Lepisosteus oculatus: one gene and its partners. The protein of the gene in region 1 binds, or shares a complex with, the protein of each later gene. Links are inferred from orthologs where the notes say so. Each region holds a gene or a part of one and is shown on either strand. Other genes may lie near its edges.

What was found.
Region 2: ndnl2 (region 1) and nsmce2 share a complex: the UniProt entries of both Homo sapiens proteins name them as parts of the SMC5-SMC6 complex. The link is inferred for Lepisosteus oculatus from reciprocal best matches to the Homo sapiens genes NSMCE3 and NSMCE2.
Region 3: ndnl2 (region 1) and nsmce4a share a complex: the UniProt entries of both Homo sapiens proteins name them as parts of the SMC5-SMC6 complex. The link is inferred for Lepisosteus oculatus from reciprocal best matches to the Homo sapiens genes NSMCE3 and NSMCE4A.
Region 4: the proteins of ndnl2 (region 1) and nsmce1 are in contact, whole or in part, in a crystal structure (PDB 7DG2), measured with the Xenopus laevis proteins. The link is inferred for Lepisosteus oculatus from reciprocal best matches to the Homo sapiens genes NSMCE3 and NSMCE1. Residues at the interface, in XP_018121157.1 of Xenopus laevis: Gly57, Glu58, Val60, Gln61, Tyr62, Leu64, Ile65, Lys66, Gln68, Lys69, Val82, Thr100, Gln102, Gln103, Val104, Phe105, Gly106, Phe107, Asn123, Leu125, Gln126, Arg127, Val128, Gly130, Asp131, Gly132, Met133, Arg134, Asp136, Glu137; in NP_001083134.1 of Xenopus laevis: Ile5, Glu7, Gln10, Arg11, Leu13, Gln14, Ala15, Met17, Ser18, His19, Leu30, His33, Leu37, His38, Leu54, His57, Leu58, Pro60, Leu61, Phe62, Met63, Val84, Asn86, Ile88, Thr89, Met91, Ala92, Ser93, Asp94, Gln149.

The regions. Positions count from the first base shown.
Region 1 is NC_090697.1:67,138,616-67,145,879, reverse strand, and holds the start of ndnl2 (necdin-like 2), read right to left. Parts: upstream 3,024-7,264; 5' UTR 2,919-3,023; intron 2,627-2,918; 5' UTR 2,622-2,626; coding exon 2,559-2,621; intron 1,543-2,558; coding exon 1,429-1,542; intron 706-1,428; coding exon 642-705; intron 222-641; coding exon 142-221; intron 1-141. Other genes in the region: itih6 (inter-alpha-trypsin inhibitor heavy chain H6), read left to right, coding at 6,125-6,265. UniProt on the Homo sapiens protein: Component of the SMC5-SMC6 complex, a complex involved in repair of DNA double-strand breaks by homologous recombination. The complex may promote sister chromatid homologous recombination by recruiting the SMC1-SMC3 cohesin complex to double-strand breaks.
Region 2 is NC_090705.1:7,654,174-7,661,390, reverse strand, and holds the start of nsmce2 (E3 SUMO-protein ligase NSE2), read right to left. Parts: upstream 3,001-7,217; 5' UTR 2,929-3,000; intron 2,910-2,928; exon of another isoform or gene 2,802-2,909; intron 1,290-2,801; 5' UTR 1,270-1,289; coding exon 1,155-1,269; intron 986-1,154; exon of another isoform or gene 448-985; intron 121-447; coding exon 14-120; intron 1-13. Other genes in the region: washc5 (WASH complex subunit 5), read right to left, coding at 5,285-5,341, 5,563-5,650, 6,632-6,785, 7,072-7,168. UniProt on the Homo sapiens protein: E3 SUMO-protein ligase component of the SMC5-SMC6 complex, a complex involved in DNA double-strand break repair by homologous recombination. Is not be required for the stability of the complex.
Region 3 is NC_090699.1:29,679,742-29,687,406, reverse strand, and holds the start of nsmce4a (non-structural maintenance of chromosomes element 4 homolog A), read right to left. Parts: upstream 3,005-7,665; 5' UTR 2,935-3,004; intron 2,559-2,934; coding exon of another isoform or gene 2,474-2,558; exon of another isoform or gene 2,348-2,473; intron 1,522-2,347; exon of another isoform or gene 1,416-1,521; intron 243-1,415; 5' UTR 180-242; coding exon 1-179. Other genes in the region: arginyl-tRNA--protein transferase 1, read left to right, coding at 5,455-5,554. UniProt on the Homo sapiens protein: Component of the SMC5-SMC6 complex, a complex involved in DNA double-strand breaks by homologous recombination. The complex may promote sister chromatid homologous recombination by recruiting the SMC1-SMC3 cohesin complex to double-strand breaks.
Region 4 is NC_090714.1:8,814,270-8,821,201, reverse strand, and holds the start of nsmce1 (non-structural maintenance of chromosomes element 1 homolog), read left to right. Parts: upstream 1-3,912; 5' UTR 3,913-4,040; intron 4,041-4,054; exon of another isoform or gene 4,055-4,158; intron 4,159-5,233; 5' UTR 5,234-5,259; coding exon 5,260-5,377; intron 5,378-6,932. UniProt on the Homo sapiens protein: RING-type zinc finger-containing E3 ubiquitin ligase that assembles with melanoma antigen protein (MAGE) to catalyze the direct transfer of ubiquitin from E2 ubiquitin-conjugating enzyme to a specific substrate.

The DNA of each region.
Region 1 (7,264 bases):
AAAAAATAATCTGGTTACCTTAAAAAAACAATTCATAAGCATTTTTCATTAAGAATGCAAGCAGAACCATTTTTGGCTCTTTATATTTTTCTGTTTGAACCCCCACCCCCTCCAATAAGTTATTAAAATGCCAACAGTCACCTGCTCAAATGTCCTGTTGACTCGCTTGATTATTTCAGGGTAGATATTCTTGTATTCCTTAATCACCTGCCTCACAATATCTGTAAGAAAGAAAATGACAGATATAGAACACACAAAAAGCTGCATATCTGCAGATTTTAGCACGACGTCTTGTCTCAATGTAAGTCCTTGATGAAACATCAACCTTAAAGGTTACTTTTATCAAAGACAAACAAGTGTAATTGCCAAGTACCAAATAAGTCATTAAATCTCAACTGGAGGAAGTCACTTAATTAAAAACATACAAAACAATTTAAAAATCACTCCTGAATTCAGTACAGTGATCATTACAGATTCACTACTTGGATTAAGAAGTAAAGACAGTATAGGTTTATTGAAGAAAAGCAGGCAGAGAGATTTTTTCCATGAGTGGAGACAGGTAGGTGTGGTTGGTTGTTTGTAGAAGGCTTATAAGGGATAGTCCTGTTGAATAGTTAATCTCTGAGATTTTACATGCTTACCAGCTCGTTTGATAGGCACCTTCTTCTGGTCCTTTATTAAGATATACTGCACAACCTCAGCCACCTAGGACAGAAAAAACAAAAAAAACATACTGTGGTCAGCAGGGGTCTTTACAACTAGAAACCAAATATTCTGTAACAGTGTGCAATGTAAGTGGAAAATCACAATGGAGCAATAAACTCAAAGCAGCAAGTTAATAAAACCTCTGGAAAATTCTCAGATTAAGCACAGTCTGATTTTACTGAGGGCTTAAAAACACCACATATGATGGCAAGGATTCCAAAAATATCCAACTGGTTTTTAGCGTTGTAATTTTATAAATATGTTTTTATAAGACTATTGTGGTATATTAGACTCTAAGACTTTGTGAGCAAAGAAAGAAATATGAAATACAAAAGTGCAATCGTAGCACCATAAGCAAAACACATAAAAGAATGGTTATGTCTCTTGAGCTCAATCCATTATATAGCATACTGTATGTCTAACTGCACCACACATAGACAGAACACTATCAACTCAGCTTTAACAAAGAGGGTTTTACAAATCTCAAGACCACCCACTTCATCATGGCAGAAATTACTACAGAAAAAAGGAATGGTTCATTGGTATTTAGGAATAGTGCTTAAATACTCCCTTCATTCTAATGAACAATTACAAATAAATGAAATTTTGGTACAACTACTATTGTTAAACAAAATATTAATCACAGAGAAGCACTACTTCCTTTCTACAAACGAAAATCAAAATGTTCCTGTACATGACATCCAAAGGCCCTGACCACTCTACCTTTTGGTCAACTTGAGTGGGAGTCAGGTGCTCCAGACCCCTCTGGACCTGTGAGGATGTGGGCTGGGTGAAGGACACGTCATCATCTTCATCTTTACTCTCGGTGTGCTGAGACTGGGGTAAAAACAGAGTAGAGACCAGTGTTAGACATGACTATATTTATATAACTAAATGTTACTAGCATTATCAGTTTACTTGAATTATTACTTAAAGCCTCCACTGGTGTTTCTATTAAAACAACTTATACATAATACAACTTAGTCTAGAAGAGAATAAAACTAGCTCATTTTTTATCTTTGATTCACAATCACAACAACTCAGGGTAAACTACAAGTGAACAGCCAGTATAAAGTGCTGTAGTTGCCAATCCACATCTACAAATCACATCGCACTGATTCCTTGTGATGAACATCCCTTGCTCTTGTCTATACATCCTGAAATCTAAAAGGCTACTTTTGTCATGCTACAAAATACATATCTAGCAAGATTAGCAGAGACTCAAATTTCAGTTGAAGATAGACTTCGTTTCTGGATAAGGAAGGAAAACAATTCAATGAAATTCAAGTTAAATTTTATATTTTTTTATTTTATAATATTAGTTTTGAGGACAACAAAATGATACAACATAACTACCACTGCAAATCAAGTATTCAGAGGAGTATATTATAATTATTTTACTTTTTTCCCCAAAAATCAAATGGCAGAGGTGTTAAACAAATTTCTAAGTTTATTACCATTGCGTCTTGAAGGCAGTGTAAATTCACAGAAGAGGGGGTGCATTCCACAATGCTGTTAACCTTCTTTACCATCCTTAGATTGTAGGGTGCATTTAAACTGACCTGACTTACCTTAATATTCTCCCAATTGACAAAAAACACCAATACTACACCAAAGAAAGTATTATTGTTTAAACAAAACAGTAAAAGGGAAATATTTATATTCATAGGCTACACAAAACATTTTAAGTAACTTTACTTAAAGTAAATTTACTGACATCTCTACTTTAAAGGCTAGTACCTACATTACAAACTTTTACAATGAGTTGGGCTAACGAGTTGAGCTTCTAATCAAAGACTATTCTAATTCAGCCATACTCAAGAAGATTTTTTTCCTGCAAGAAATCCACTTACCCTAGAGGCTGTGCCCTGTGAACTCTGTCTTGCTGAAACCCTTTTCCTGAATTGTGACATCATGAAATCTGAAAATAAGAAAACAAAAAGCATTGTACACAAAAATGACGGAGTCAAATATGAGCTTCTATTTATATCTAGACCATTAGCTATGACGTTTCAACATACACTAATACGAGCTTTTTATATTACGTTCAGGAGCAAGGAATATTAAAAAAAACCTTCCAATTTAACAGTAGCAGTCGCAACATGTTACTATGATTCACACTACAAATCATGTAAACTATACTCATACATTAAGAAACCTGTATATTATTTTGCTAACGCTACATGGAGCAAAAACAAAAAAAAATAACTTACCTTTATCTACAATTTTAGAAATGTAAAGTTTAGCCACTTCTTTAATATTTAAGCATAACTATCTTGCGCCTTCCTACCCAAGCGGCGCGGTTTAATTACGACACGATCGCGTTAAAGTGACATCAGAGGATTAGTTGGATTCTCACGTGTGAAAAGTAGCTGCGTTCGCTTTGCACTAGAGAATGTTTGACGCAACACGCAGCGGACTTGAAAGATACAACTGCAAGAGTCTACATCGTACGATAGTGAAAATAACAGTGATTATTACTGTACTGTAGCTACCTACTGTTACATGTAATCATGGTTGGCAATAATGAAATCTAATAATCGAAAAAGTAATATTTAATTTTCAGCCACATTGTGTTACATTTTTCAAAAGCAAATAAAACAATAACGATCTCCCCATTTCAGCCCTTCCACCAACCATACTATCGGTAGTTTCTGATCCGTGCAAAGGATTCCCTTTACTAGAATCAGACTGCTGCAATAAAAACAACGTGATCACAAGCTCAGGGGAAAAGTTCCATCTTCCTCTGAGGCTCGGAACTCCACAATGTACAGTATTACGTTGCGATTGCCACATGTCCACCACAGTGTGGGTACCCTAATGCTTCATCTGTGATATGGCCACACTCTGGACAGGTGGTGTAAGGCAAATGTGTGGGCACAGTAAAGACACTGGAGGTAACTGAAACATTACTGTCCTGCACGATACATTATCCTCCAGGGGTTGGCTGAAGAGGAGGTCTACAAAGGTCCACCATTCCAGTCCAAAGAGCTCTGAAGCTGATTTTAGAACAGTGAATTTCAGCACTGTGTTCCAATAGGAATTATATTTGGACATCATCTAACAGCCTGATCATGACCTCTGGAAGCAGTTCAGTGATCATGGAAGCTCTTTCTTAGGACACCTTAGAGGAAAGACACACCTGACGTGATGTTCTCTTCTGAGGAGAAGTCCCAGAATGTCTATGCCCATGAATCGCTCACGCCTGCTTCATTCCTGGAATGGGTCATAGGAAGATGTGCCAGCAGCCATATCACCCTGCAACTCACAACTGGCAGCTCACTGAAGCTAAGCAGGTGTGAGCCTGGTCAGTACCTGGATAGGAGACCTCCTGGGAAAAACTAAGGTTGCTGCTGGAAGAGGTGTTAGTGGGGCCAGCAGGGGGCGCTCACCCTGTGGTCCATGTGGGTCCTAATGCCCCAGTATAGTGATGGGGACACTATACTGTAAACAGGTGCCATCCTTCAGATGAGGCGTAAAACCGAGGACCTGACTCTCTGTGGTCATTAAAAATCCCAGGGTGTTTCTTGAAAGGAGTAGGGGTGTAACCCCGGCGTCCTGGCCAAAGTTCCCATTGGCCCTTACCAGTCATGGTCCTCCTAACAATCCCCATCTATGAACTGGATTCATTACTCTGCTCTCCTCCCCACTGATAGCTGATGTGTGGTGAGTGTTATGGGTGCTGCACATTGGTGGTGGTGGAGAGGAGTCCCCATTACCTGTAAAGCACTTTGAGTGGAGTGTCCAGAAAAGTGCTATATAAGTGTAAATAATAATTACTATTAAGAGTCCTGTAGACTCTTAAAGGCTGGTAAAGAGTATTGTAGCACCCTCGTCCTTTGGTGAGGAGGAAGCACACCTAGGCACTCAGGGTACCGGGAAGCAGGCTGGGTGTTGTAGCCTTGAGGAGTCTGAGGGTCAGCACGATGACCAGCAGCTGACCCTGCTTATGTAAATAGTGTTATATTAGTTAAAGTGTCCTGTGTAGCTTTGTAAGTGTATAGTCTTCTGTTAACGAGTTACCACCCTAAACCTGTGAACTGAACGTGTTACGTCGGTCCCCTTGTGTGTGTGTGTGTAAATGCTGTGCTTGGTTTGGTGTTGAAAGGTGGTTAAGAGTGGTTGGTTGGTGTTTCTATCACGTTTCCATTTGTACTTTGTTTTACGTGAACTCAAAAACGCTACAGTATAATGCCCAGGGAACCAAGCTTTGACCAGGGAAACCCACTGGCAGGCACCCACCACAAGCAGTGCATTTTCCCCATCCTGCAGGACCAGCACACCCCATTAAATAAAAAATACCCTGACCCCACAGAATTGATAGTTCTCTGGAATTTCAAAAACATAATTTTGTCTGGACCTAGACAAGATGGATCGGACGTTTCACAGATGTAATAGTAAAGGTCAGAGTTTATATAAAAGTTTTCCCCCCTTCTTGACTAACAGTCCATTAAAATACAGCACGAAGGCGAGGTAAAATGTATAGCCCTGTTTAAAATGTTATCTGCCCACCAGAAAAGTGTTGAACGGGTTAATATCCAGAAACCTCTTCCATGGGAATCTGCTCCAGTCAATCACGTCCTTCTTCTGCAGGAAATTCTGAGAAGTTTATTTTGCAAAGCTTTTCCTCTGTTGTGTTGCGTTGTTTTCTCGTGTACGTATGAGCTTGGCTTCACATTCTGTTTCCCGTACCTTGTAGTTCAACCATTTTAAAGCAAATCGCCATTAACAGATATGTAGTAACGTATGACTTGTAAGCTAATTTGTGTATTTGTTTCTGAAGATTCTTGTACACATTTTAAAATGTACAACCCACATATTGGAATTAACATGTGCAATGCAAAGATGTCTCGTATCATATTAAATATGGTAAAAAGGCTCATTTTCAACTGTATTTTTCAGATTTCCACACAGAAACCTGATCACTCTAAAGGGCGTTAAACGTTACCATATAAATAATACAGACCTACTGTACTTGTTATGCAAGTACATTTGCATAATGTACGTGTTTCCTTTAGCTTTTTTTTTAAAACGGTCGTCTATATCTAAGTCAAAATGTTCAATATTTCAGACTTTGAAAGAAAGTTCTTTAGAGGCACGTCCCAGCCCGTTAAACCTTTGAAATGACGCGTTTACGTTCAGGTATAACTGGCAAAGAAAGACGGCGCCTTCAAGGATTAATGTATATATTTAATCCTTTGTCTCTTGAACATTTCACTCACATCCAAAAACAGCAACGTTTCATGAAGCTTCGTTTGCACCCACATCACACATCCTAGAGTCACACCTCCCAGGAGAGCGCTTTTAAACGCTGCGATCTGTATCTGTAAATAAACTGCGCACTAGTTTTCTCGCAGCTCATTTGAAGCCATAGAGCACAGGAAATCAACCGCGAATTTAAGAATATTAGTTACTAAAAATGAGAGGCATCTGGATTATCACATTGCTATATTTTGTCTTATTTTGCTTCATGACATCTGTCCAAAGAGGATCATCTGAGGAGTACCGGGCTCGTTTCCAAGATTCACCCAATAAAGCAGACGCCAATGTATACCTGGAGGTATGGTCTTTTTAAAATTGGTTTTACAACGTTATTGTGGAGCAATATTAGACTTCGGGCTTGAAAGTATTCGTACCACAGAGCTGTTAACAAGATCATTGTAATAAGCTACAGAAGCTCTTGAACTGGCAAGAAGAAAAATGCTACCTGGTTGCCAAGAGAAATATCTATTGTTTATTTAAAGCGTAAAGTACAGAATAAAGTATTTAAAGACAATGCAAAAAAGGCGCAAAGTTCTGACTTTAAGGTCGATATGTATACTAATATATAAACACACCTTGTTTCATCCACGCAGATAAATTTGTCAATACTTCGTTTACATGCGCATTAAGAAGCAATCTACAGCTATTACGTTTAAAATGAGTGAGGAGGTATGTACTGCATAGCGTTAAACGTAACCATATTGTTGTTGTTGATTATGACAATTGTAATGATAATGACTTTAAAGAATAGTACAAATGAGAGGAGACCACGAGTCCATAGAAACAGAGATGTTTCTGTATTGATTGGTGTGTATTGTGTGAGCAGGTATTACAGGGGGATGAGGGGTTATCATGCCCTAGGGAGCAAATGTTTGCACTCAATGGTTCCAACCCTTTACCGAAAAATATTTTTATCCAACATAAATAAATCGCTTGTTACGAGAGCCCACTCCAGAAAATAAAAAAAGTTTAACGCTTACTCCTGCACATTTCGGAAGTTCATCTAAGCAGTTGTAAATCTTTTATATTTTTAAACCCTTTTTGTTTGTTTCTGTCACGGAATGGATAGTGGCACTGAAAGGTAAATGATAATAGTTGTAGACTGAAATCAAAATCAGAATCAAGATAGCTTTTATTGGCCAAATAAAGTTCATATACAAGGAATTTACTCCGGTGCACTGGATACGCTGCGTGTGTCACATGACACACAGCCCAGGGGAGTGGGTTCGTGTCCCACGGCGGGCGCAAGGTTCTTGCAACCAAGGAAGTCTCCAGTTGTGACTCGTACCACTGGACC
Region 2 (7,217 bases), on another chromosome or scaffold:
CCTCTTGTCCTACCTGTGAGGTCACTTCTTCCACTGCTGCTACAAAATAGTTGATCTCTCTCTCCATTCTTGCACAGTTCAGCATCATTTGCTCCAGCTTCTTGAAATCTTCCTCGCTGCCTGTAATTTAGAGGAGCTGTGAGCGCCAGCCTTTTTTTCCCCCCCGTTTTGGGAACTGGAGGGTCGGCACTGCAACTACACGTCCACAAAGACAAACCTCATATCAAGCATTCAGAAAGGGTGAAAAAAAACAACAAAAAGACAGGCAAATTTGGAAATGGAGGTTATAAACCTAATCATGACAGAGATAATACAGTACCATCTTAGCTATCGACTACCATCTGCATATATTCATGAATATATACGAATGTATTCATTAATATTAACAAACTGAGTTGCTCAGAGGTTTGAGGATCCCGGGACTTGTTTCCTCTGTCTCTCTCACAGATTTTGAGCAGTCCTCAGGCCCGAGACCTGCTGGAAACCTGTACGACAGGTCTGCCCCGACACACACCGTCACCCTCATCGTGACGTCAGTACTGCAGGCATCATGAAAGGACCAGCGAAGGAACATGAATGAACTGCGGAGCTGTGACATACAGAGGCCCTTCTCAGCCTAAAGGGTGGCTGGGGTGTGGAACAAGTTAACCAGCCATGTGGTTGTGGTTTAAGGTGACACCCTGGCTTCTTTCAAGAAATGGCTGTATGAGATCCTTGGATTAATTAGCTACTGACTACCAAATGGGCCAAATGGCCCTTAATGTTTTTACTCCCACGCCGCTCTCAGAGGTCCAACACGTCATGTGGCAGGGGTTCCCAGCCACATAATGTGCTGCATAGAGAGGATATGTGTACAATGATGTCCACCTATATTTTCAATGAAAATTAAGTATTTAGTCATTCAATATATTTTGGAATCCTCTGTTGAATATATATATATGAAAGACATATTTGTCTTGACAGCGTCAACTATGTTACTAACCTTTCTGCAAAATGAACTGGTGTTTATCCCAACATTTTAACGGCAGTGTGCATGTATGCATAAGCACATACATACATTTGGATGCATATTTACACGAATACATGCAGTCAACCAATTCTAAACTGATTCTGTTTGTCTGCCGCGGCCTGCCAGATCATATAAAAGTATTCACCTCCGTTCTCTTGTAAATCCAGGGCCACATTAGTCACAATGTCCATGCCTATACTGATGTCAGGCTGGCAGGTCTTCAGGGAGGTCAGGTTTGATTTCACCACGTTCAGCGACATTGCTGCACGGCTCTCTGAAACTGCAGCAGGAACCAAAGCAGAAAAATAAAAGCACCTGTCCTTTTAAAGCCTCTTGCACAACTGCTTCGAACAAATTGCGTGACGCACGAAGAAAAAAAGGTATGAATATAAGCATAAAACCTTACCCTCATTATTCTGGGAGAAGAAAAAATGCTCTGGAGCACTTCCACAAATTGTTAATCTATACAGTACAAGTGCCTTGCAAAAGTACTTAGTTCCTTGCACAGTTTTCGGTGCTTTTAAATCTTGTAGTCCTGACACTCTGAAGTAATAATTAATATTTGGCATATTTACATTTTACTACACACATTCAAAGCAAAAAGAGTACACAAATAGTAATTGGAAGCAAAAACTGAAAAGTCACAATTGCATAAGTATTCAAATCTTCTGTTTTTGCAAACTTTAATTGAGGTGCACAGAGTTACCATAAGGAGATCAGTGGAGTGTTCTCTGTCTGTCTGCCATAATAGTTTATTTTCAAGAAAAGACTTGAGAACTGTCTACAAGTGATCCCCAAGCAACAGGACAGAACTTGAGCAAATCCGCTTTTAGAAATGTGCACGAATGGCTGCCCAAGGGGTGTCCACTCAATATTGAGCTCCTGGGTCTGAATACTTGTGCAATCAACACATTTCAGCCTTGTCTCTGGGTGTTGCTAACATTTACTGAAATGTACCAACCCACAGTCTTCAGCGGGAGCATTTTGAACAGGTATGGATCGATATTTTTAAAACAAAACGTGTATGCAAATCTTTGTAAATTCCCAAGACCGGACAGTACAGCCTAAACAAACTATTTCAAACAACAGTAATTTAGCAACTTAGTGCAAGAATTGCAGCTTCACAGATGAGCACCTTGCACGGCTTCTGATGATGACTCTCACGGCTAAACTGACCCCGAGTTGATCAGAACACTGAATTAACACTGGTCACGAGTCTTCAGTAAAATATCAGCGCGCCTGCTACAAACACTTCACTTTATGAATCTGTTGTATATATGACTCATTTTTTATGCATTATAAAGCACAACCTTTAATCTTGGTTTTCATTTTAAGATTACAGTGCCATAGTACATCCTTGAGAAAGCTCAATGTGCATCAACAACGTGACAATGAAATGACAGCTAATTCTACATAATCCGAAAGTTATTGCACTAAATTAGACAAGGTACTAACAACGATACTACAGTGCTTTATGGAAATCTGATTACTAACCCCAAATCCCTTGAATGTGACTATATTATATTAATGTGATTATATATTTTTCACAGAAAGCTTAAGAAATCGCCGCGTAAACCCTGACTCTAAAATCGAATGAAATGGAAGTAAGCCACTACAAACAGTTTTCAGTGGTTTGGGCTTAAATTTATATTTGGCAAGATTTTAATTACGATACTTTCCTAATTATAACTGGCGTGTGAAGATCATTTATTCACTAAGCTTAGATACACCAATGAGACGAGCAATTACCTCGTCAGATGGATTGTTTATATTTTGCGGCTATAATACAAACCTGAGTTGACCGGCAATACTTGCTACCACAAACGAAATAAATGTTATTGTATAATCACCTTCATGCTTAAACACTGTAAGAACTACAGCAGAAACAATGTTTAAGAAAAAAAGACACCTTCACAAACCTGAAACTTTGAAACCAACCCGCAAATCACGCTTCCTGGTGTTGACTTCTGGGACATGTAGTTATTTTCTTGCCTTCTGGACTGGAAGCCACGACGATACAAACTACGTATCCCATGGGGCAACGCTCCTTAGCTCAAAGGAAACACGTAAGAGCTGCGACCTTCGGTAGGGAGAGTTAGGTTTTAGTGCCACCGCCTGTTAAAATAAGGGACCAACAGGCTATATCACAGGCTTATACTAACAGGCTTCGTGTAAACAAACCCTAAATTAACCCAAAGTGTGTTAGATGTGCCTATACATATGTCTTTTTAGGGATTATAATCTATAGACTGTTTAAAATTAATTTTTATACTGTAAAATGAGAGGAATATAAAAAATACCACAAAGATAAAATTATCATGTCAATTATAGTGGTTTATTACAGATGCTGAACATAAAAAAGACCCTTATTAGCTGTTTCCTTTAGGATTACGGAGAGTTACGGGATTCAGTCGGATACACGGTTATTTTCAGTTCTAAATTTCTATACCATTAAATTTCAACATGTCCTTGGTGTCCATGTTTGGTTATTAATAATAATAACGACAATAATAATTATTATTATCATTGCTATTATTAACTTCCTCCATAGTGCGCACAGTACACTCACCACACAAAAGCTATCGGTGGGAACGAGAAAGAGTGATGAAGCCAATTCTTAGATGGAGATTATTAATGTAATGTAATGTTTCTTTATTAGCCCTATACAATTTCTTGCATTAGGAATTCGTCTTTTCGCAGACCCCACCTTTTCTCCATGGAGACACAGACACACAGACAGGGAGAGAGAAGCTAGGGGTCAGAGCGCAGGGTCTGCCATTGTACGGCGCCCCTGGAGCAGTTAGGGTTAAGGGCCTTGCTCAGTGGCCACCGCTCCGCCCTATTAGGAGGACAGACACCAGAGCAACACCCTTGGATTAATGACCACTGGGAGGGAGAACCTCAGTGTTACATCTCACCCGAAGGACAGCACCTTTTTTTGCAGTATAGCGTCCCCGTCGCTATACTGAGGCATTCGGACCCACGCAGACTGCAGGGTGAGCGCCCCCTACTGGCCCCACTAACAGCTCTTCCAGCAGCAACGTTGGCTTTTCCAGGTCTCCCATTCAGCTCACACCTGCTGAGCTTCAGTGGGGCTTCCAGTTGTGAGTTGCAGGGTGATATTGCAGCTGGCTGATGGTTTGGTTGATACTTACCAGAAGTTTTAATTGAATCAAAGCAGAAATGTGCTATGTTTTCTACAGACACGGAATACCACTAATTTACACAGATAAAACTAGAGTTGGATGCAGTATGTAAGATTTTTTGTAATGTTTGTAAATGAGAACTCTTTTTTGGTATGGAATATCAACAGTATACGTGTATAGCCAACACGATTTAAGAACAAATTCAGTGCCTGAAGGATGAGGTTTTGTCGTAAACTTTCCAAAGTATTAAAATAAGTAGTGCTGTGGGTCACTAAAGAAACAGACATAAAGAAGAAGTGTACTGTACTTTAGTTTTTTACTGTAGTACTGTAGTTATTTAATCACTATCACCAGTGACCACTACAATACTCTGTGTGATTTGCCACAGGGCACTGATATCAATCACAATTTTCAGACTCCCCCACATCGAAATACCTCTGTGTTGCCACTGGGTGGAAAATATTTTTTTTTACACCAGACAGTACATAACCAATGAAAATTAAGTAATTTGTTGAAAATGTTATGGTCCAAAACTAAACTTAATCTTAATGTAACTGAAATGCCATGCGTCATATAAAAGTCTTGTATGGTTGGGGAGACCATTCAAATATTAATGATGGAATGGCCTATGAAAAACCATTCATTTTTGCTGCCAAAGAAACATAATAAAAGACCCACTGAATGTTCCACCACCTTATGCTCAATTAAGATCTTATGACACACATGCGGCAGGAACGTTCTGAGAAGTCTACTTCTTCTGATAAAACAAATTCCATTTCCCCGAGTTGAGTAGATCAAGCGAGTACGGTACAGGTTTGGTACCGCTTAAATAACCAAGGCCAAAACAGTGAAGCACCTAATTTATTAATAAGAGATCACATGGCATTTTGTATAAACTGTTAGACAACTTGTTTTTTAGCAAAACTGCACACATTTTATCCAGTTAATAGCTGTATATTAAAGACACGTAGTTAACGACACTAAACATTCAGTCACTGCGTTGGTTAGAAACCTAGAAGCGAAAAAGGCCTATTAGAGCTTGAAGCCCCCGCAGGCTATTGAGATGAAGGGGGTGAGCCGTGTCATACGAAGGCCCAGGCCCCCCGCTGCAGTCTTGTGACCAGCCCCATCACAGAACTGTTCGAAACTCATCGAAGATGAAGCTGGGGACGTGGGCTTCTGCCACCTGCGAAACAAAAAACACGGCACCATGTTGAGATTTCACAGGTAAACAGACAGCAACAAACACTGCCAGATCAAAAGCTTGACATTAAATTAAGCCGACTGCTTAACATTAGGGAACTATTGAAACAGCCCAGGAGGTTCTCAATTTTAAATTCCCCCCCTGCGTGTAAAAGCCACAGGAACTAAGCCTGACGGGGTCAAGAGCTGGTCTTGTCCGCTTACCTTCCGGGGGAGTTTGGTATAGTGCACATAATCCTCCAGGAACATGAGCGCCCCAACCACATCCGACGGCATCTCCGGAATCTTCTGGCTGGGAATACATTAGAAGAAAACGCTGACTCCTAGAATTGCACCCAAGAACATTAAACTAAAAAAAAAAACCTTAGCAACTCTATATTGCTCCTGCTGGATTTCTGTAGGCTTTTTTCAACCCTGCTCCAAACAAAGACAGTTTTTGCGTTTAAAGAAGTGGGCACCATAGGCGTAAATCATAATGTGAAAAAATGTGACCCGAGTGAAAGAGACCACTTTTGTTTTTAAATCAGCAGCACTCGGAATGACGGCTTTTTCAAAATGCCTCAATGCTGGGCTTCTCATCCCAAGTCCTCAGGATCTTCAAACCTGATTGTTTTTGTTCTAGTGAGGAAAGATGGCTTTGAAAAGGGGAACATCACTGGTAGTGAAGACTCAGTTGAGATCTATTCTGGGTGGGATACAGGCAAATACAGGAAACAATACTGTAAGAGGGCAGTAGCTTCAGGGACGATCAGAAGCACATTACCCAGGCTGCAGTTGGGAATGAGCTATTGTCCTCAGTCACCTGACAAATTCTGAGGAGATGATTGGTCAGGTGGTAGTTAAAGATAACCTCACAGTCAGATGGTTCCATTTGCTATAGGGAGGATCTGCCCTCTGTCCCCAGAAAGTACATGAAAGACCATTCCTGGAGGTTTTCCCGCTTCTTGATTTTTACACGATCAGCAAACCAATCATATTTTCTGACGTGGTCAAGTGACTGAAAGCAGCAACTCATTCCGCACAGCTTTCTGGGGAATGCGATTCATTCTCCACTGTGGCTGAACCTACAGCCTTATTAATAGATATGGTTAGATTATGCCACAGAGACCATTTGTTAATGGACAAGCTATGGGTACAATTTAAAAAAAAAGACCAAATCTCTCTCTTAATAGTCTGCTGTATTTTTAGAATTGCTGAGATGACGTGTCAGAAGTGATCATTTCAGGGGTTCTATTTTGTGCATTTCCAAAGAATAATCCCAGTAGTGTGATACCTCGTGCACTGCTCCATTATGGAGCGAACGAACTGGCCAATCAGAGCCAGAAACTGCTCAGTGTATCTGGAATGGAACTGCTTCAGGAGGGTAAGCAGACCCAGCACAAGAGGAGGCCAGTCAACTGGATCAGTCGACTTTCTGCAGGTCATTCCTGAAAGAGCAGAAAGAAACTGGAACAGACTCGCACAGACAGACCAGAAACAGCAGCAGAACTGAAAAAAGGCTAAACCACAGAGGCCTGAAAGTGCAGATTACAAATAAGACGATCCTTAAGTCAAAGAACTGCACTGCACAGAGAATAGAAATATTACCATAAAACTATCCCACTTAAATCTGTCAGTCAGGCTTATACAAAGTCTAAAATTACGCAACACACAAACAACAACGGCCCAAAAAAATGTCAGCCTTGCACTGAGCTATAAAGCTGAATTTCGTACCTTGGTTTTTGTTGTACTGCAGCTTAGGAAGCTGAGCAATGAGAAACAGAAAGTTCACAATGGGGAAATATGGTAACCGCTTGGTGGTTATGTAGATCTAGAGCAAGAAAAAAAAAGTTAATCAGCACAAATATTTCACTGATTGG
Region 3 (7,665 bases), on another chromosome or scaffold:
TGGTGCCTGATGAGGCGGCGAGTGGCCGGGTCATCCTCCTCGTGAATGTTGGAGCCCCCTGGCCGAGAGCCCTCCTCCTCATTGCTGTCCTCCCCAGCCCGCCTCTGAACCCCAACGCCATTTTGCGGTGGCGCAGGGGCCTCCTGTGACCTGTGGCTCGCTCTTCTTGCTTCAGACATCTCTGCCGGCTCCTGTGGGGCACCTCAATAGCCACAACCCGCCTCAAGGCTACAGAGATGAGCCTGGTCGCGCAAAAAAAAAGGATGTCATCTTTTAGTTTGTGCAAGACGGAGAATACAGAGAATAAAGCACGGAGCAGTCTGGACTATGGAAAAACAAAACCACTTTGCCTTATCCACTGTCTCCTCCTGTTCGTTTGATTCTGTGAGATCTGTTTTGGACAGGCTCAATGGGCTGTGTTCACACTATCCCTCGCAATTATTGTCCTGCCATGGTGGTGTGTAGACAGATTATATTGCATGCATTTCAAATTCTCTATGAGTGCAACATAAATCATCCAGGTCCTACTACTATGGATGAAATGAAAGACTTCCATTCAGATTTTAAGCCCTCTTGCTCTTTCTATTACAAGCTATCCTCTTACACAGGATATTTCTCTCATTGTAAGTCATATCTTATTATGAATATACTTACATAGACATTTAGAGTTAAACTATACGGAGTTACTTAAAAATAATCAGTTTTTCCCCTCGAAAGTTTGTTGTGCACGAAAGCCTAAAACTAGCCCAACTATATATATAAAACAATCAAACAACTTTGGAAGTCTGCCTTCTATCCTTACTTATGATTAAAACCGTGACTCTTCACGGTTTAGTTTTAACTCAATTTGAAATACTATTTTATTTATCCTGCGATTCATCTCCAAAACGTGCACAACACAAACCGGCGTGGGGTTTTTGCTTCAATACATGAAGGGACGTGTTATAAGGCTAGAGGACATTCAGCGCCTGCATATATCTAGTAAATACCTATTATTTACACTTGGATAAATGTTGTTGGAACAGGAACGACATCATTAACCAATTTAATATATTTTACACAAATCCCAATTTTTTAGTGATTAGTCAAAACATTTTAACGATCTGATCACAATCGAAATATGAAATCAAAACAGATCTAGATTGTCGCTTGCTCTCTTAGGTAAATTACAACCTTGTATCACCTTTCAAAATGTGGTAAAAAAACGCCATAGTGAGAATATCAACTTTTTTTACATAAATACTACATTACAATATAATGTTACGTGTTGAAGATCTGTCATACATGACTACAGGTAACCAACACAATGCGCAACCACAGGGCGTGACACACTGCTTCTTTCACACAACACAGTACATCTCTATGATTTTACAGTCATCTTCACCTATCCGGATTCTCAATGAGATTAAACTTACTTTTTTAAACTTTCGGTTTGTTTATTCTCGTGCACCAGCCGCCAATGTTTTCAAGTAGACGTCTATGTGCTGAACCGGAAGTAAAACGCGATCGTGTTATCGTCCGGAACAACCCCTGTTCTTCTCCGTAAAGGGTTCCTGCTTGTGCATGACATGGTTTCACAGACTAGCATGTATCGTTTTGTTTTTATCTTTTCAAATGTTTATTGTTGTGATTCCACGTAATAACACTGCTATTTTACGACAACAGTTGGTCTTTATCTCAGAAACAGTAATACATATTTTAGATGACTTCCCCAAAATCGTTTCACAAAATGTAAATAAAAACGCCGTTTTCTAAAAAAGATGCAAAACAGAATGCGTTATTAACCGTAAAATCATTCCACATTCAAATACTGTTTTATCTATATATTTCAATTGCCGTTACATTCATTTTCTAGCATGCAAATAACTCGAACTCCTTTTCACGTTAACAAAGTAAGTGAAACTCGTCTTTAATCTCTTCAAAGCAGGAAAAATGAACACGTTCAGTGAGGTTCCTAAATTAAAACCTTAAGAAATATTACAAGAGCAAGAGGGCATCCATCCATCCCACCCGTTGGGTATTTAGTAGGTAATTTTCCCAGATCTCAAGTGGACGTTTTTGTCTTGGTCACTTGTTCGTCTCCCACGGCCATACCTTTTAGAATTGCCCCGTGTTATCAGTTATAAATACACTTCATCGTAATTTATACTTCTGTCCACAAAGGACTCTGGAAAACTACTAGTAATTTATCTATAGAAAATACATAATTTAAACCAATATTACAATTCCCTGTTGGATGTTCAGTTTTCGTAACGCATTAAATTATATTAAAGTTCAACAAGGGAGGCTTCTTGCAGATACTGTAGTTGATTGCCCCCATGTGACTGCTTCTTGACACAAGTTTACTTGGGAAACTACAAGACTGTGTCGCAAGAGCGTGGCTCAGCAATGGGCTACGGGCGCGTCGGGGAAGCTCGCCGGCGGGTCTGGGCTGCAGCGGGACGGTCAGTCTGGGCGGCGGGCGGCTGCGAGGATGTGCTCAATCATAGAGAGCAGAGGAGTGAGGGATGGTTACAGCTGTGGCTACTGCGGCTCCAGTGAGGGCAAGGTCTCTTTTAGTAAGTACAGACGAACTATGATGCGCAGTACGTGTGGTTGCAGCCGAGTACAGTGGAAAACAATACACCAAACACAGTTGTTTGATAACTCGTGGCTAATTAACAGTCCCGTTACAATACATCTAATTTATGTTTAGTTATTTCTTTGAACCCGATCACTCATTTCTTATGGGGCTGCTTTTGATAAAGGTGTGTGTTCTATTAAAAAAGGGACCTGAGTGTTACAGTAAACCTGTGGTATATTCACCGAATTGTGCGATACAAATACCAGTAGGTGTACTGTACCATAAAAAGACTGAACGTTTTTTATATTGTCTAATTATGCTAAATTCCAGTCATGCAAAAATAAACATGGCGAGACAATAACTTCCACTACCTGTATATTCTGCAAGTCAAAGAATCAGCTGATCAAACGCCGGTCCCTCTCCGAAGTCCGAAGAGGCTATAGCTTCCGCTGGAGCGTTGTCTCCACCTGGCGACAGACAGGCGGAATTACAAGTCTTAATCCGCTGCCGCATCTCACCATCTCAGGAATAAAATGCAGGGGAAATTCGGTCTCCCTGAATATTCAAAAACGTCCCATAAAGCTCATGGGAAATGTGAATATTATTAGAGTTATTATAATCAAATGCTGAACTTGGCCTACCCCAGTATCCGTGCACTTTATTTTCCAGTTGAGCCAGCAGTAATCTTAGTGAGAACTTAGTGGTTCTCTTTTTGTTTTCAACTCTCCAGCCTTGGGAGGATTTATATGAGTAACTGCGAGTTATATCAGAATGAAGACCCGAAGATGCAGAAAGGCAGCGCTCCAGGGCTGGACAGCTTTAGATGGGGGTCTAAACTAGATCGTTCAGCTCATTCATGTACTAGCCTTTGGTACAATCAGTACTGTAATTATGCTACTGAAATTTACTATTAATTCAAACACAAGAGCTGGTCCTGTCAGATATTTAAAAAGATAAGATGGATTAGATGTGCTGGGTCACACTCCTGTGTACGGTTCCTGTAGAACTTCATATTCTGATGTTTGAATAATAAAAAAGACCTTGTTGATAGTCGTAATTGCTGCATTTTGGTCTTTGCTGAAAATTGCTACGAAAGGGTTGGTTTAATGTATGTAGTTTCTGTCAATGCAGAGACTTTCAATATTTGTGGATAAATTCAGGAGCATCTGGCTGTGTGTCTGGATTACTGGCTCCTTCTTGCATTGTCACGCAATTTTAGATCAGACTGAAAGAAATTATATTTTTTTAAGTGACACTGAAATTGTCTATGCAAATGCACTGAAAAAGTTGAATTCCCAAAGTCACACAGATGTTTTAGGTTTTATAGGTAGCTGTGCAGCCTTTAAATAGTTAAATCAAGGAATTTTGTGCTAAACCGTCCAATGCACTATTAAGATCTCAGTTAGAAAACTGTACCAACACCACAGTACAAGTCAAATATTGCTGCTCTGGAATCGGTTCAGAAAAGAGCAATCAGATGTATTCCTGCTTTCAAAGGAGTGTCATACACGGACTAAAATTATTTCACCTTTTTGTTCTTGAACAGTGAAAGCTGTGAGGTGACCTGATTCAGGCATTCACAATTTCTCCAAGGAAATCTAATCCAATTGACTCCTTAAGATCAATGGCAGAACACGGAACACAGGACACAAGAGGATGCTATGTTCAAGTTCAAGTTACAAGTTCAAGTTTATTGTCATTATACTCATATACAGGTATATGGTATAACGAAATGCTATTTAGCTAGCTCTCGGACATAAGTAGTACAAAGAAAAAAAAACTACAACAACAATTCAATTGTATAACAAAAGAAAGACAGAGACAACAGGCAATGTGCAAAACAACAAAAAGGTAACAGGTTATGTGCAAAAACATTCATTAACAGAATGAAAGGATAGAAATTATGGGGAGTGACCTTTTGACATGTATGATAGAGGTATATTTTAAATGTGTGTTTGGGATTTTGGTAAGAAAGAAAAGGCACTGTGAGGTTCAGATCATAGGTGAGAGGTGAGGTGAGAGTGAGAGAGGCTGGGAGTTTAATAGTTTGATAGTGCGGGGGTAAAAACTGTCTCTGAGTCTGGTAGTCCGGGCCCGAATGCTCCGGTACCGTTTTCCAGATGGTAGAGGGTCTGTAGCTGGGGTGTGTGGGGTCTTTAATGATGCTTAGAGCTTTCCTCAAGCACCGTCTGTCATAAATGTCCTGGATAGATGGGGGGGTAACCCCAGTGATGAACTGGGCAGTTTTCACCACCCGCTGTAGGGCTTTGCGGTCAGCAGCACTGCAGTTGCCATACCACACACAGTGGGCTTTCTGTTGTGCATCTGTAAAAGTTAGTGAGGATCTGGGGACATATCTTAGCCTTCTTCAACCGTCTTAGGAAGTACAGGCGCTGTTGCGCTTTCTTGATCAGACAGGTGGTGTTGAGAGACCATGTGAGGTCCTCGGTGATATGGATGACAAGGAATTTAAAGTGGAATTCCTTTTTCTACTTTAAATTCCAATTAAAATCCAAGGAATTTAATTGTGGAAGTCCACTTGAAACTGAGAACACCGAGGGCATTTCTGTAACACAGAGGGTCATGGGAATATGGAGCGAGCTGTCCAGCCATGCCGTTGAAGCTGATACTTGGTTCAGTTCACTACTGAAAACAAAACGGAAACATGGGCTGTAGGAGCTTCTCTAGTTTAAAACCAGTCTTGTCGTTTTAAGATTTTCCCAGGTCGCAGCAGTCTTTACGCGGAGGGAACGGAAGATGGCGCTACAGGAAATATTAATGAGTCCAATAGGATAATTATTCGGTTTGGTGTCTGTGGTATTTGTAGGTAAGCGAGCATTACGCATAAGGAAGTTCGCCGGGTTGTCAGAATCGGCTAACAATCGGCTAAAATGGCAGCGGGCAGTTCTTACACCATAGTCGAGTATTTCGGAGGGGACGATGGCTACCGGTGCGGCTACTGCAAGAACGAGCATGGGAACTTCTCCCATGGTAAGGCAGCTTTGCCGTCCCTCTTAACTTTCTCTTCTGTTTAGTTCTGTAGCTTCTCTACCAGAGCAGAAAGAGATGTGCACACAGGAGTAATTTATTTATGCAATTTATTATGGTCCTGATGATAGCTGCGCCCGACCCGCTCCGTTGTGATTTAAGTAAAAGATTACATGCAGGACTTTAGTGCATTGCCATTATGCTTACTGTGCATTTTAGGATATTTTTTGGTTAAGTGTTTTCATTATAGAGTACAGGACGTGCAAGTTGCAGCTCATAACCATTTTCTCGCCCCTAAGGAGTTGTTTAGTGCCGGTTAGTTGAGATGCTGTGCTAGAGCAAACGGATGTGTTGATGGTTCTAGTATTTTAAGATATGTTGTCTTTATGTGTTTAGGTTTATATAAACATCGCCGTAATGGCTGGTCATTGTAGCCGGGTTGCTGTTATCCGCAGTACAACAGACAAGGTTCATTACCACACCAGAGAGAGAAAGTAAAAGTTGTTCTTGAAAAGTTATTTTGAATCTCAGCTTGAGCCGTGGAATCCCGCTCTCATGAAGAAGTTCACTCTGTTGTTGTCAGTATTACGATTGGGGTTCCAGTCCTTTATCAAGATAGTGATTAGATCTATGCCCTATGAACTGTATAAATGCGTTGTTACCTTGTTTTAATCTCTGAAAGATTTCCACTTTAAATTCTGGAGTAGCTTTTAAATGATCCCTTGATTTATCCCTTTGATTTCCTCTTGCAGTAAAAAAAAACATACGTGCTGTCATGTCATGTATTGGTACTAATTGTGTTTTGTGAATCTACTGTACATGCAGAGTCTACACTGCATGACGTCTGTTTTCTTCCTTTTGGGTTTGTCTTGCTGCGGAACAGAACACTCAGATTTGCTCCACTAGATGAATTGTTTCCCTTTTTCCCTTAACTGTACTGCTCATGTAGCAGTGAACTGTGTGACCAGTTCTGGATAAGGACTGAATATTTCTGCTGCAGTGCTGACGGCTAGAGAGGCATGTGTTTTCTCCCCGGGTGCTTTATCACCCAGTATACTGTTTCAGAACTGCGCGGTGGTGTATGAATGTGTAGTGGCCTGGGAGCCTATGGCTAGGGCACAGCAATAGTGCCTACTTGGCACAGTGATATAATTAGACTCTGTCCTGTTAGCAGTTTATTTAAAGCAAAAATATCTACTTTTGGTTTTCTTTAACTTAGTGTCTTGCATCAGAATCACCTGGAGTAATGGCAAAAAGAAAGAGTAAACGGAGTATTTTATTTCTGCATTTTATTTCTTTGTTTCATTGATGACAGTTGTGAGATGTGCCTTCAATCAAGTAGTTGACTTTGACGTTTTTGCTATACCATCTTAGGATTTATCATCATTAATTTATGATGAGATATTGTTTATTGGCGGTGTGGAAAATGCATGAGTTGAAAGTAAAGAAAACAGGGGAAATATCACACCACACGCTTTAGGAATTTAAGTTACCAGTTAATTAGTTGCTCTCTCTTTTCGGGGCTGTTTGCTGAAAAGCAGAGGACGCAGTATAGGTTAGCTAAGTGGTTTACAATATGGAAAGAGTCCATGAATAGAAGACCAGCTGCTCTGCAGGGTTCTTTGAAAAGGAGCCTGACAGATCTCTCATCTCAGCTAATGACTGGCTAACTGCCTTGCACTGTTGTTCTTCGGCTGTGCATGGTCTGTATTGAGCAGGTGTGCCAAAGGGTCTGGCTTTCTTCAGAGGGGATTACAGAACCTGCAGTCAGACAGGTGTGTGCCACGGTGCTTGCAGTTCTGTATATTGCTGATGAAGTGATATCTGCAGCTCCCTTCCTTTTAGAGCACGGGCAGAGGATAAATGAAAAATGTAGGCTGACTGACAAAAGACAGATCCCTGTAGGCCATGTTAGTAAAACATTTACTGAAAACAAGTTAAAGTTTTGGCATCGTAAAAAAGAGATGTGTGTGAAGGATAAGTTTGGGGTCACAGGAAGCTCTTTAGGAATTTTAATATTAGTTGGTCCAATATTAAACAGTTCAGACCACTTTGAACTTTGCGTGATGTGGGGAGGCAGGTGGGTAGAATAAATATATGGCACTGCATTTATC
Region 4 (6,932 bases), on another chromosome or scaffold:
AAAGGAATCGGGTGAATGAGCACTTCTTATATATTTGTTCTTTGCGAGATTTTAACTGAGCATCCAATAAGAATGTTAAAAAGTAATCAATTTTAACAGCAGAACACACCCATAGGTCGAACAAGGCCATTGCAGATGTAAATGTAATATTCATCCGTTTTTTCAACATAGTAATCGCTTTGTCACCCCCGGAAAAAGAGTCAATATCCACCTTGTATGATGCCCCCTCAAACAGTTCGTAGTGTCTCTGGAAGCTTATACAGTAGAAGGCTGATTTAAATAAAAGCTAAACAATCACTGATTGTTGTACAATATTGTTATAAGCATCAAATAAATAGCTTATTTTAACTCTCTACTAATTCGCTTTTTAAACTAACCTGTTAATCAAATTACATATGTACATGTGCAGTATATACTGTGCCTGATATATCATGCACTTCATAAACTTAACTGGAACAATGAGTTGCATTAGCACAGTTCTGCACAGCTTTAACAGAGCCTTACAGTACTGCGAGTCGTCCAGGTTTCAGTTTTGCTTTATTGAAATGTAGGCAGTGGGGAAACCAGCATTCACAACCTATCGTTGTATTTCTGGTGTTTACTACATTCTGTTTTCGTTGTGTTTTATTTTTCTATTTTCAAGTGTTGATATTTTATGCTGTTTATTTGTACAGCGCTTTAGGTTCTTGTAAACAGGAAAGTCGCACTATACGTTCGGTCATACGCAGTGAAATACTCTCCCCTAAAGAAAGTTGCAACATACAGCTAATAGAGCTGCAAGGGATGCCACTTTTATTTTCCTGACACACTAAACCGGTGTGTGCAGTCCTGCGAGGACTCACAAGCCGCGACCCAGTGTCTCGAACTGCGGTTTCGCCACCAATGAACCGGAACTGGGGACCAATCGGACTGCGCATGTTCGTGTTTGGGTACAGCCGGTAATTTCGTCCGGGTGAGAAGGAGCTGTGCTCTTGCTAGTAGCGTGAAGCTAGTTACACTAAGCGACACGAATGATCCGGAAGTGTATGTAAATAGCCGAATTTCAATCAAAATAAAAGTTATTCAGCTACCACAGGAGCGTATGAGGAGTATACTGTAGCAACATTAAGCGAAGTGACAAGCAGCTGAAACTTCTGCTTTGTTATTTCTTCGTGGTTAAATGTAATTCCTTGAACATTCCGCCAAAATTTGAGAGGGTCCTTTTTAATTTTAAATCGCCTCCACTAATCTCCAATTCGACAAATCTAAGATTATTGGAAGTTTTTATTAATTTTACAGCACATTTCTTCCATTTATACTACTGTAAAAATTGTCATTGCTATATTTTTTCATATAAATGTTTTTTGTCTGTTCAATGCAAAAGGTTTTAAGATGGAAGCTTTTAAAGGAGCTGTATCTGAAATTTCTAATTAAATCAAATCCTTTATTATATTTTAATTCAATCAGTTTTTTAAACTATAACCAGGGACAAAAACATATTTTTTGCACCATCAAAAGTAGTGTAACATACAGTTTTAAGACAGTCAGCCAATAGTAAATCACCCTTCTTCATTCAGTTTTAAGTCTTTATTAATATTGTTGGTCTGGGTGGATCACCTCTGGAAAAAGTTGTGATTCTCAAAAGGTGGATGGAATCTATTGCATAGACCCTCAGCTAATAGAAAATCACCTTGTTTTTGTCAGATAAATGTCTGTGTCAAAACTGCTGGGGTTTATAGAGCACCTCCCATTCCCAGACTTGGACAATGCAGTGATGGTGCAGGGAGAGGTCTAACTCTCCTCCCGACCAAACAACAATTTGTGCCTCTTCAAAAATACCTCAGATCTATTCTACAGACCCTTGGCTAAAAGAAAATAACTGTGTTTTTTTTTCAGATAAGTGTCTTTGCTAATGTTGCTGGGGTTGATAAGACCACCTGCTGTTCCCAGACTGGGATCGTGCAGTGATGGACAGGGAGTGGTCTCACTCCCCTCCCGAACAAAACAAAATTTGTGCCTCTTCAAAAATACCTCAGATCTACTCTAAAGACTAACAGCTAATAGTACATAACCATGGATTTGTCAGAAAGTGTCTTTGCTTATCAACCAGGTGGATGCTGCACATTGGTGGTGGTGGAGCCATTACAGTAAAGCGCTTTGAGTGGAGTGTCCAGAAAAAGCGCTATATAAGTGTAAGCAATTCTTATTATTATAATTATTTGCTAAAGTTGCTGGGGTTTATAGGACCGCTTGCTGTTTCCAGACTGGGACTGTGCAGTGTTGGACAGGGAAAAGTGTAAACAACAGCCGTGATCCCAACCAAAGTAATGCTGACACTAAAGATCATAGTATTGTGACCAAAACCATAGATGTGACACGGAGTAACCATTCTTAGACATAGAGTGGATGACTGGCAGTGTTTTGAAAAGGCAAAAACCATAATGCATCTGTAAATTACCCATCAGCCAAAAAAAAACCAAAGGTGGGGTGCGATGCTTGCTAAATGAGGGTTTTAACTTTTAATTTCTGTGCAGAATTTATATGTCCAAAGGACAATAGGCCATACAGCTAAAGCAGCGTTTGAATGCTGTCTGAGTAGTTCTACACTCAAAATAATAAAAGCTGATCTGATTTAAGAGAAAGTCTAGTGTTTTGATGCAGAACACCTGCAATGCATCTTTACTTCCCAGTCTATCGGAACTCATGGGGGGAATCAATTATCAACTGGTACTTGGGCAACATGTGAGCCATCGTTTCCACATTACCGGATCAAATCAAAAAGGCTCCATGCCATGTCTTTGGCAGAGCCACCTTCCCAGGAAAGACACATCACCATTGAAGGTCTATTCAATATTTTGGCTGTTTCGATACACTTTAATAAGAAAGTGTGAAATTGACACTTTATTTCAAACCAGAAAAGAAGATCCACTGGTGAAGTGTTAACAATGCCCACATTGCGATAACATGCCCTTCGAAACAAATCTAGTATCGGCCACTAAAAGGCCCCTATAAACCCCAGCAACATTGGCAAAGGACGCTCATCTGGCAAAACCATGGTGATGTACTATTAACTGAGGATCTGTAGAACAGATCTGAGTCACTTTTGGAGAGGCACAAATGTTGCACATCGCTACACAGTCCCAGTCTGGGAATGGGAGGTGCTCTATAAACCCCAGCAGTTTTGACAGAAATGCTAATCTGAGAAAACCATGGTGATTTTCTATTAGCCGAGTGTCGGTAGAATAGATTTGAGGTGCTTTTGAAGAGGCACAAATTTTGGTTTGGTTGGGAGGGGAGTGAGACCACTCCCTGTCCACCACTGCACCATCCCAGTCTGGGAACAGCAGGTGGTCTTCTAAACCCCAGCAACTTTAGCAAAGACACTTATAATGACTTATGCATGATCCATGGTTATGCACTATTAGCTGAGGGTCTATAGAGTAGATTTGAGGTATTTTTGGAGAGACACAAATGTTTGTTTGGTCAGGAAGGGAGTGAGACCGCTCCCTGCCCATCACTGCATGGGCCCAGTCTAGGAATGGGAGGTGGTCTATAAACCCCAGCAGTTTTGATAGAGACACTTATCTGAGAAAACAATGGTGATTTTCTATTAGCTGTGGGTCTGTAGAATAGATTTTAACTACTTTTGGAGAGGCACATTTTTTTTTGTCAGGAATGATACTTTTTCCTGTCTAGCAGTGCACAGCTCTATGTCAATTTGCAAGGAGGAAGTGATATAAAAACACCAATAAGATTGCAAAAAATTAATGAAGAATGGCAATTTTATATTATTTGTGGGTCTATTTATCACATTTCACATAGTTTTGAGGATGAACAAACTGTTGTTGTGCTATAAATGTGACTTTAACTGGTACAGGATTATTTTATATGAGCCAGGTTTTAGGAGACTTTTATTTTGAAAGGTGCTGCCAAGCCAGAGTCGTTTATTGTAGCTAGCTTCACGCTATTGCTCTTTTGAGTTTACTGGTCTCTTCCAGTGTATCTCCAGAGCGTCTTAACCTGCAGGAACAGGTCACATTGATACGGTTCGGCTCTTTGGAGTATGTAATTTTACTGACTTGTACAAACTACTATTGAGGAGAGTGATTTGCGTACTGTCTGTTGTAGAGGATAGACTGAAACTACTTATTTTGTCGTTTTAAAGTCTGTAGGCAAACGGTAAGACATGTTATGTAAAGGTTACGTGACTAAACCACTTATTTTTAAGGAAGCGAAAATCATTTTCATCTGGTTTCTCATGTGATGTATGTGCGCATTGTCCAATCACGACTCTCTCTGCTTGACATTTGCCAGTGGCAATAGTAGTAGTTCGGAGGAATGTGGATTGCGGTGCGGTCTGAAAAAGTCATATTTGAACACATAACTGAACTATAGTAAAGCTATAATCGTACGTGTAACTTCGACAGTACTTGTATTTTACCGTGGAATATTTTATTGAAAAGATGTGTGAAAAGCACAAGGAAACTATATAAATTGCCAATATAAGGAAATGCAATGCGTAATTAAAATACCAAGGCCCCAGTAACACGCTATAACTGGTATTGAAATATTTGTGCTTTCCTTTTAATCCAGACTTTATTAGGTTATTATTTTATCAAATACATTTTATATTACTATTTGCAAGGACTGTAATAATATAAAAAAGTGTTTGTAAATGGTTCTAACTGAATATTATTGTTTTAGCTGAATATTATGCCTTGTAACACTGCAGTATTTCATTGTGTAAAGTAAATTAGGTTATCACTTACTGTAGCTGCCTAGCTTTTATTTTATGGCTGATTTCCTGTTCAGCAGGGGATAGTTTATTCCTAACCAAGAGATCGTAGTCATGAAGTTCATATTCTTAAAATGACAAAAATGTTGAGTTATTCTTCCTGTCTAAAAATTACACTCTATGATTCACGTCAACCTTATTTACTGAATAATAATAATATTCCAAAAAAGCTTTCGCACCAACACCGTTTTAGTTCTTATTGTTTGTTTTTTATTGACATGAGAGTTTCTTCACAGGTTTTGTGCTAGCCTTAGTGTTTTTATTAATTTATTTGTATGCATTGTTTCTGCACATATGTTCCCTGTTTTTAATATACAGTGTATATAATTGAATTTAAGCATAAGGTCAGACTAGATAAGGGCATCTTAACAATATTTTGGGTAGTGTGTAATACGTTTTCAGTTCATTAGCAGGCTTTTTTCTGCAGTTGATGGCGTGCTCTTTCTTGTTTTTTGCTAGGGATTTGGGGAAAAAGAACCTAGGCTATGGCCAAGCACATGACGGACAGCCACCGGAGGTTCCTCCAGTCTCTGATGTGCTGTGGGATAATAGAGGGCTCCAAAGCCAGGGCCCTGCACAGGCACTGCTGCGAGGTGCACAGAGGTAAGACAAGAAGATGCCTATTCCTCTTTGCTTCAGCTGTTACCAAGAAATACATTCACACCTTCACTTTCAGTGTGGTGTTTTGAAATATTTCTTGTCCAATATCAAATCTTATTCACTGCATTATGTCACTAGAAAGATGCTTGTATTGACATGCTGTTGAAAAATAACAATACTGTTGTAGGTAGCTGCGTCAGCATGTTTAGGTTGCAAAGGAACAAGTAAAGGTTTATTCCATGCTGGAAAGAGAAAAAAAGCCTCTGTGGAGCCTTCTTTGGGTGTGGGTCTTCTTCTTCACGCACCACAGCTGAAATGTTGTATTTGTTGTTCCTTTACATACTATTGTTTTTATGTTTAATATCATTTGCTACGAAAGCCTAATGAAGTGGTGTTCTTTCATTTTTTAAAGCCACATATGTATGCTTAAATAACCTATAAACCATCAGTCCAAGATCTATTCTGATGTTTCTTGGTTGTTCTGTGTTATGAGTTGATTCTCTAAACTCATTTGAGATCAGTAAGGTTTCCTACTTGAACATGGCTTGCAAAAAAAATACATTTGCTTTTGAATCTCATGCTTTATTGTATCATCATGTGTAAAAGCATGCTACTTGATGATTTCTTTACAATTGTTACTCTTTTTGTTAAAAATCCATTCCTTCATTATTCACACAAGCAATGTATGTTGTTCACAGAATAAACAGACAGCTTAATTAAAAGTAGCAGTGAAAGTTGATCTATTAGATAAATTGACTAATCACAAGTGTGGATAATATAAGAATGTGCATGCTAAAATATTTAGTAAAACACTATTTTCTGTTTTAACATTAAAATATTAATAAAATATGTCTCATTCTCTTATTCCCTGTCAATTTCTTATTGAACAGCGATAAACACCAGAAGCTGGGATAAAAATGTGCAGAATTTCATTAGCAGTACAGTAATCTGTATATTATATGGCATTATACTAAACACAATAAGTACAAACACCAGCACATTTTCAGGTTGTCCATACTTCATTGATCTGGTCAACAGCTTTTATTAAATGCTTAAGGCTGTGTTGCTCAACCTCTGGACCCACTGACCACCACCAGTCTTTGGAACAGTGCTGACTGAGACTTCACAAACTGAGCCATAGAGGCATAGTTATAATGAGTGAATTTAAGACTGTTTCTTTTATAGTTTTGCTTTTATCTTAAGAAGTTGACAAATAAGGAAGAAGAGCTGATCTCTGGCACAAAAAAGGTTGATAAACACTAGTTTAAGGTACCAGAGATGCAGAATAACTCTGACTGTCCAAAATTGACAGTGATGTAGACATTAACTCTTACTGGCTAATACATTAGGAGCACCTACTGAATAATACAGTATATCAGGTTTCCATGGCTGAAAGAATAGTTCAAGTGTGACTGACTTGTCATTTATTTCACAAAGTTTTGAAATATTTGCTACCCAGTCGAATTCCATTGTTCTAGCAGGATCACCAAGTAAGGTCTGTGGCACTGAACTGCATTTTATACTGTTTTTACTGACTTTCCACAGGATTAAGATATAA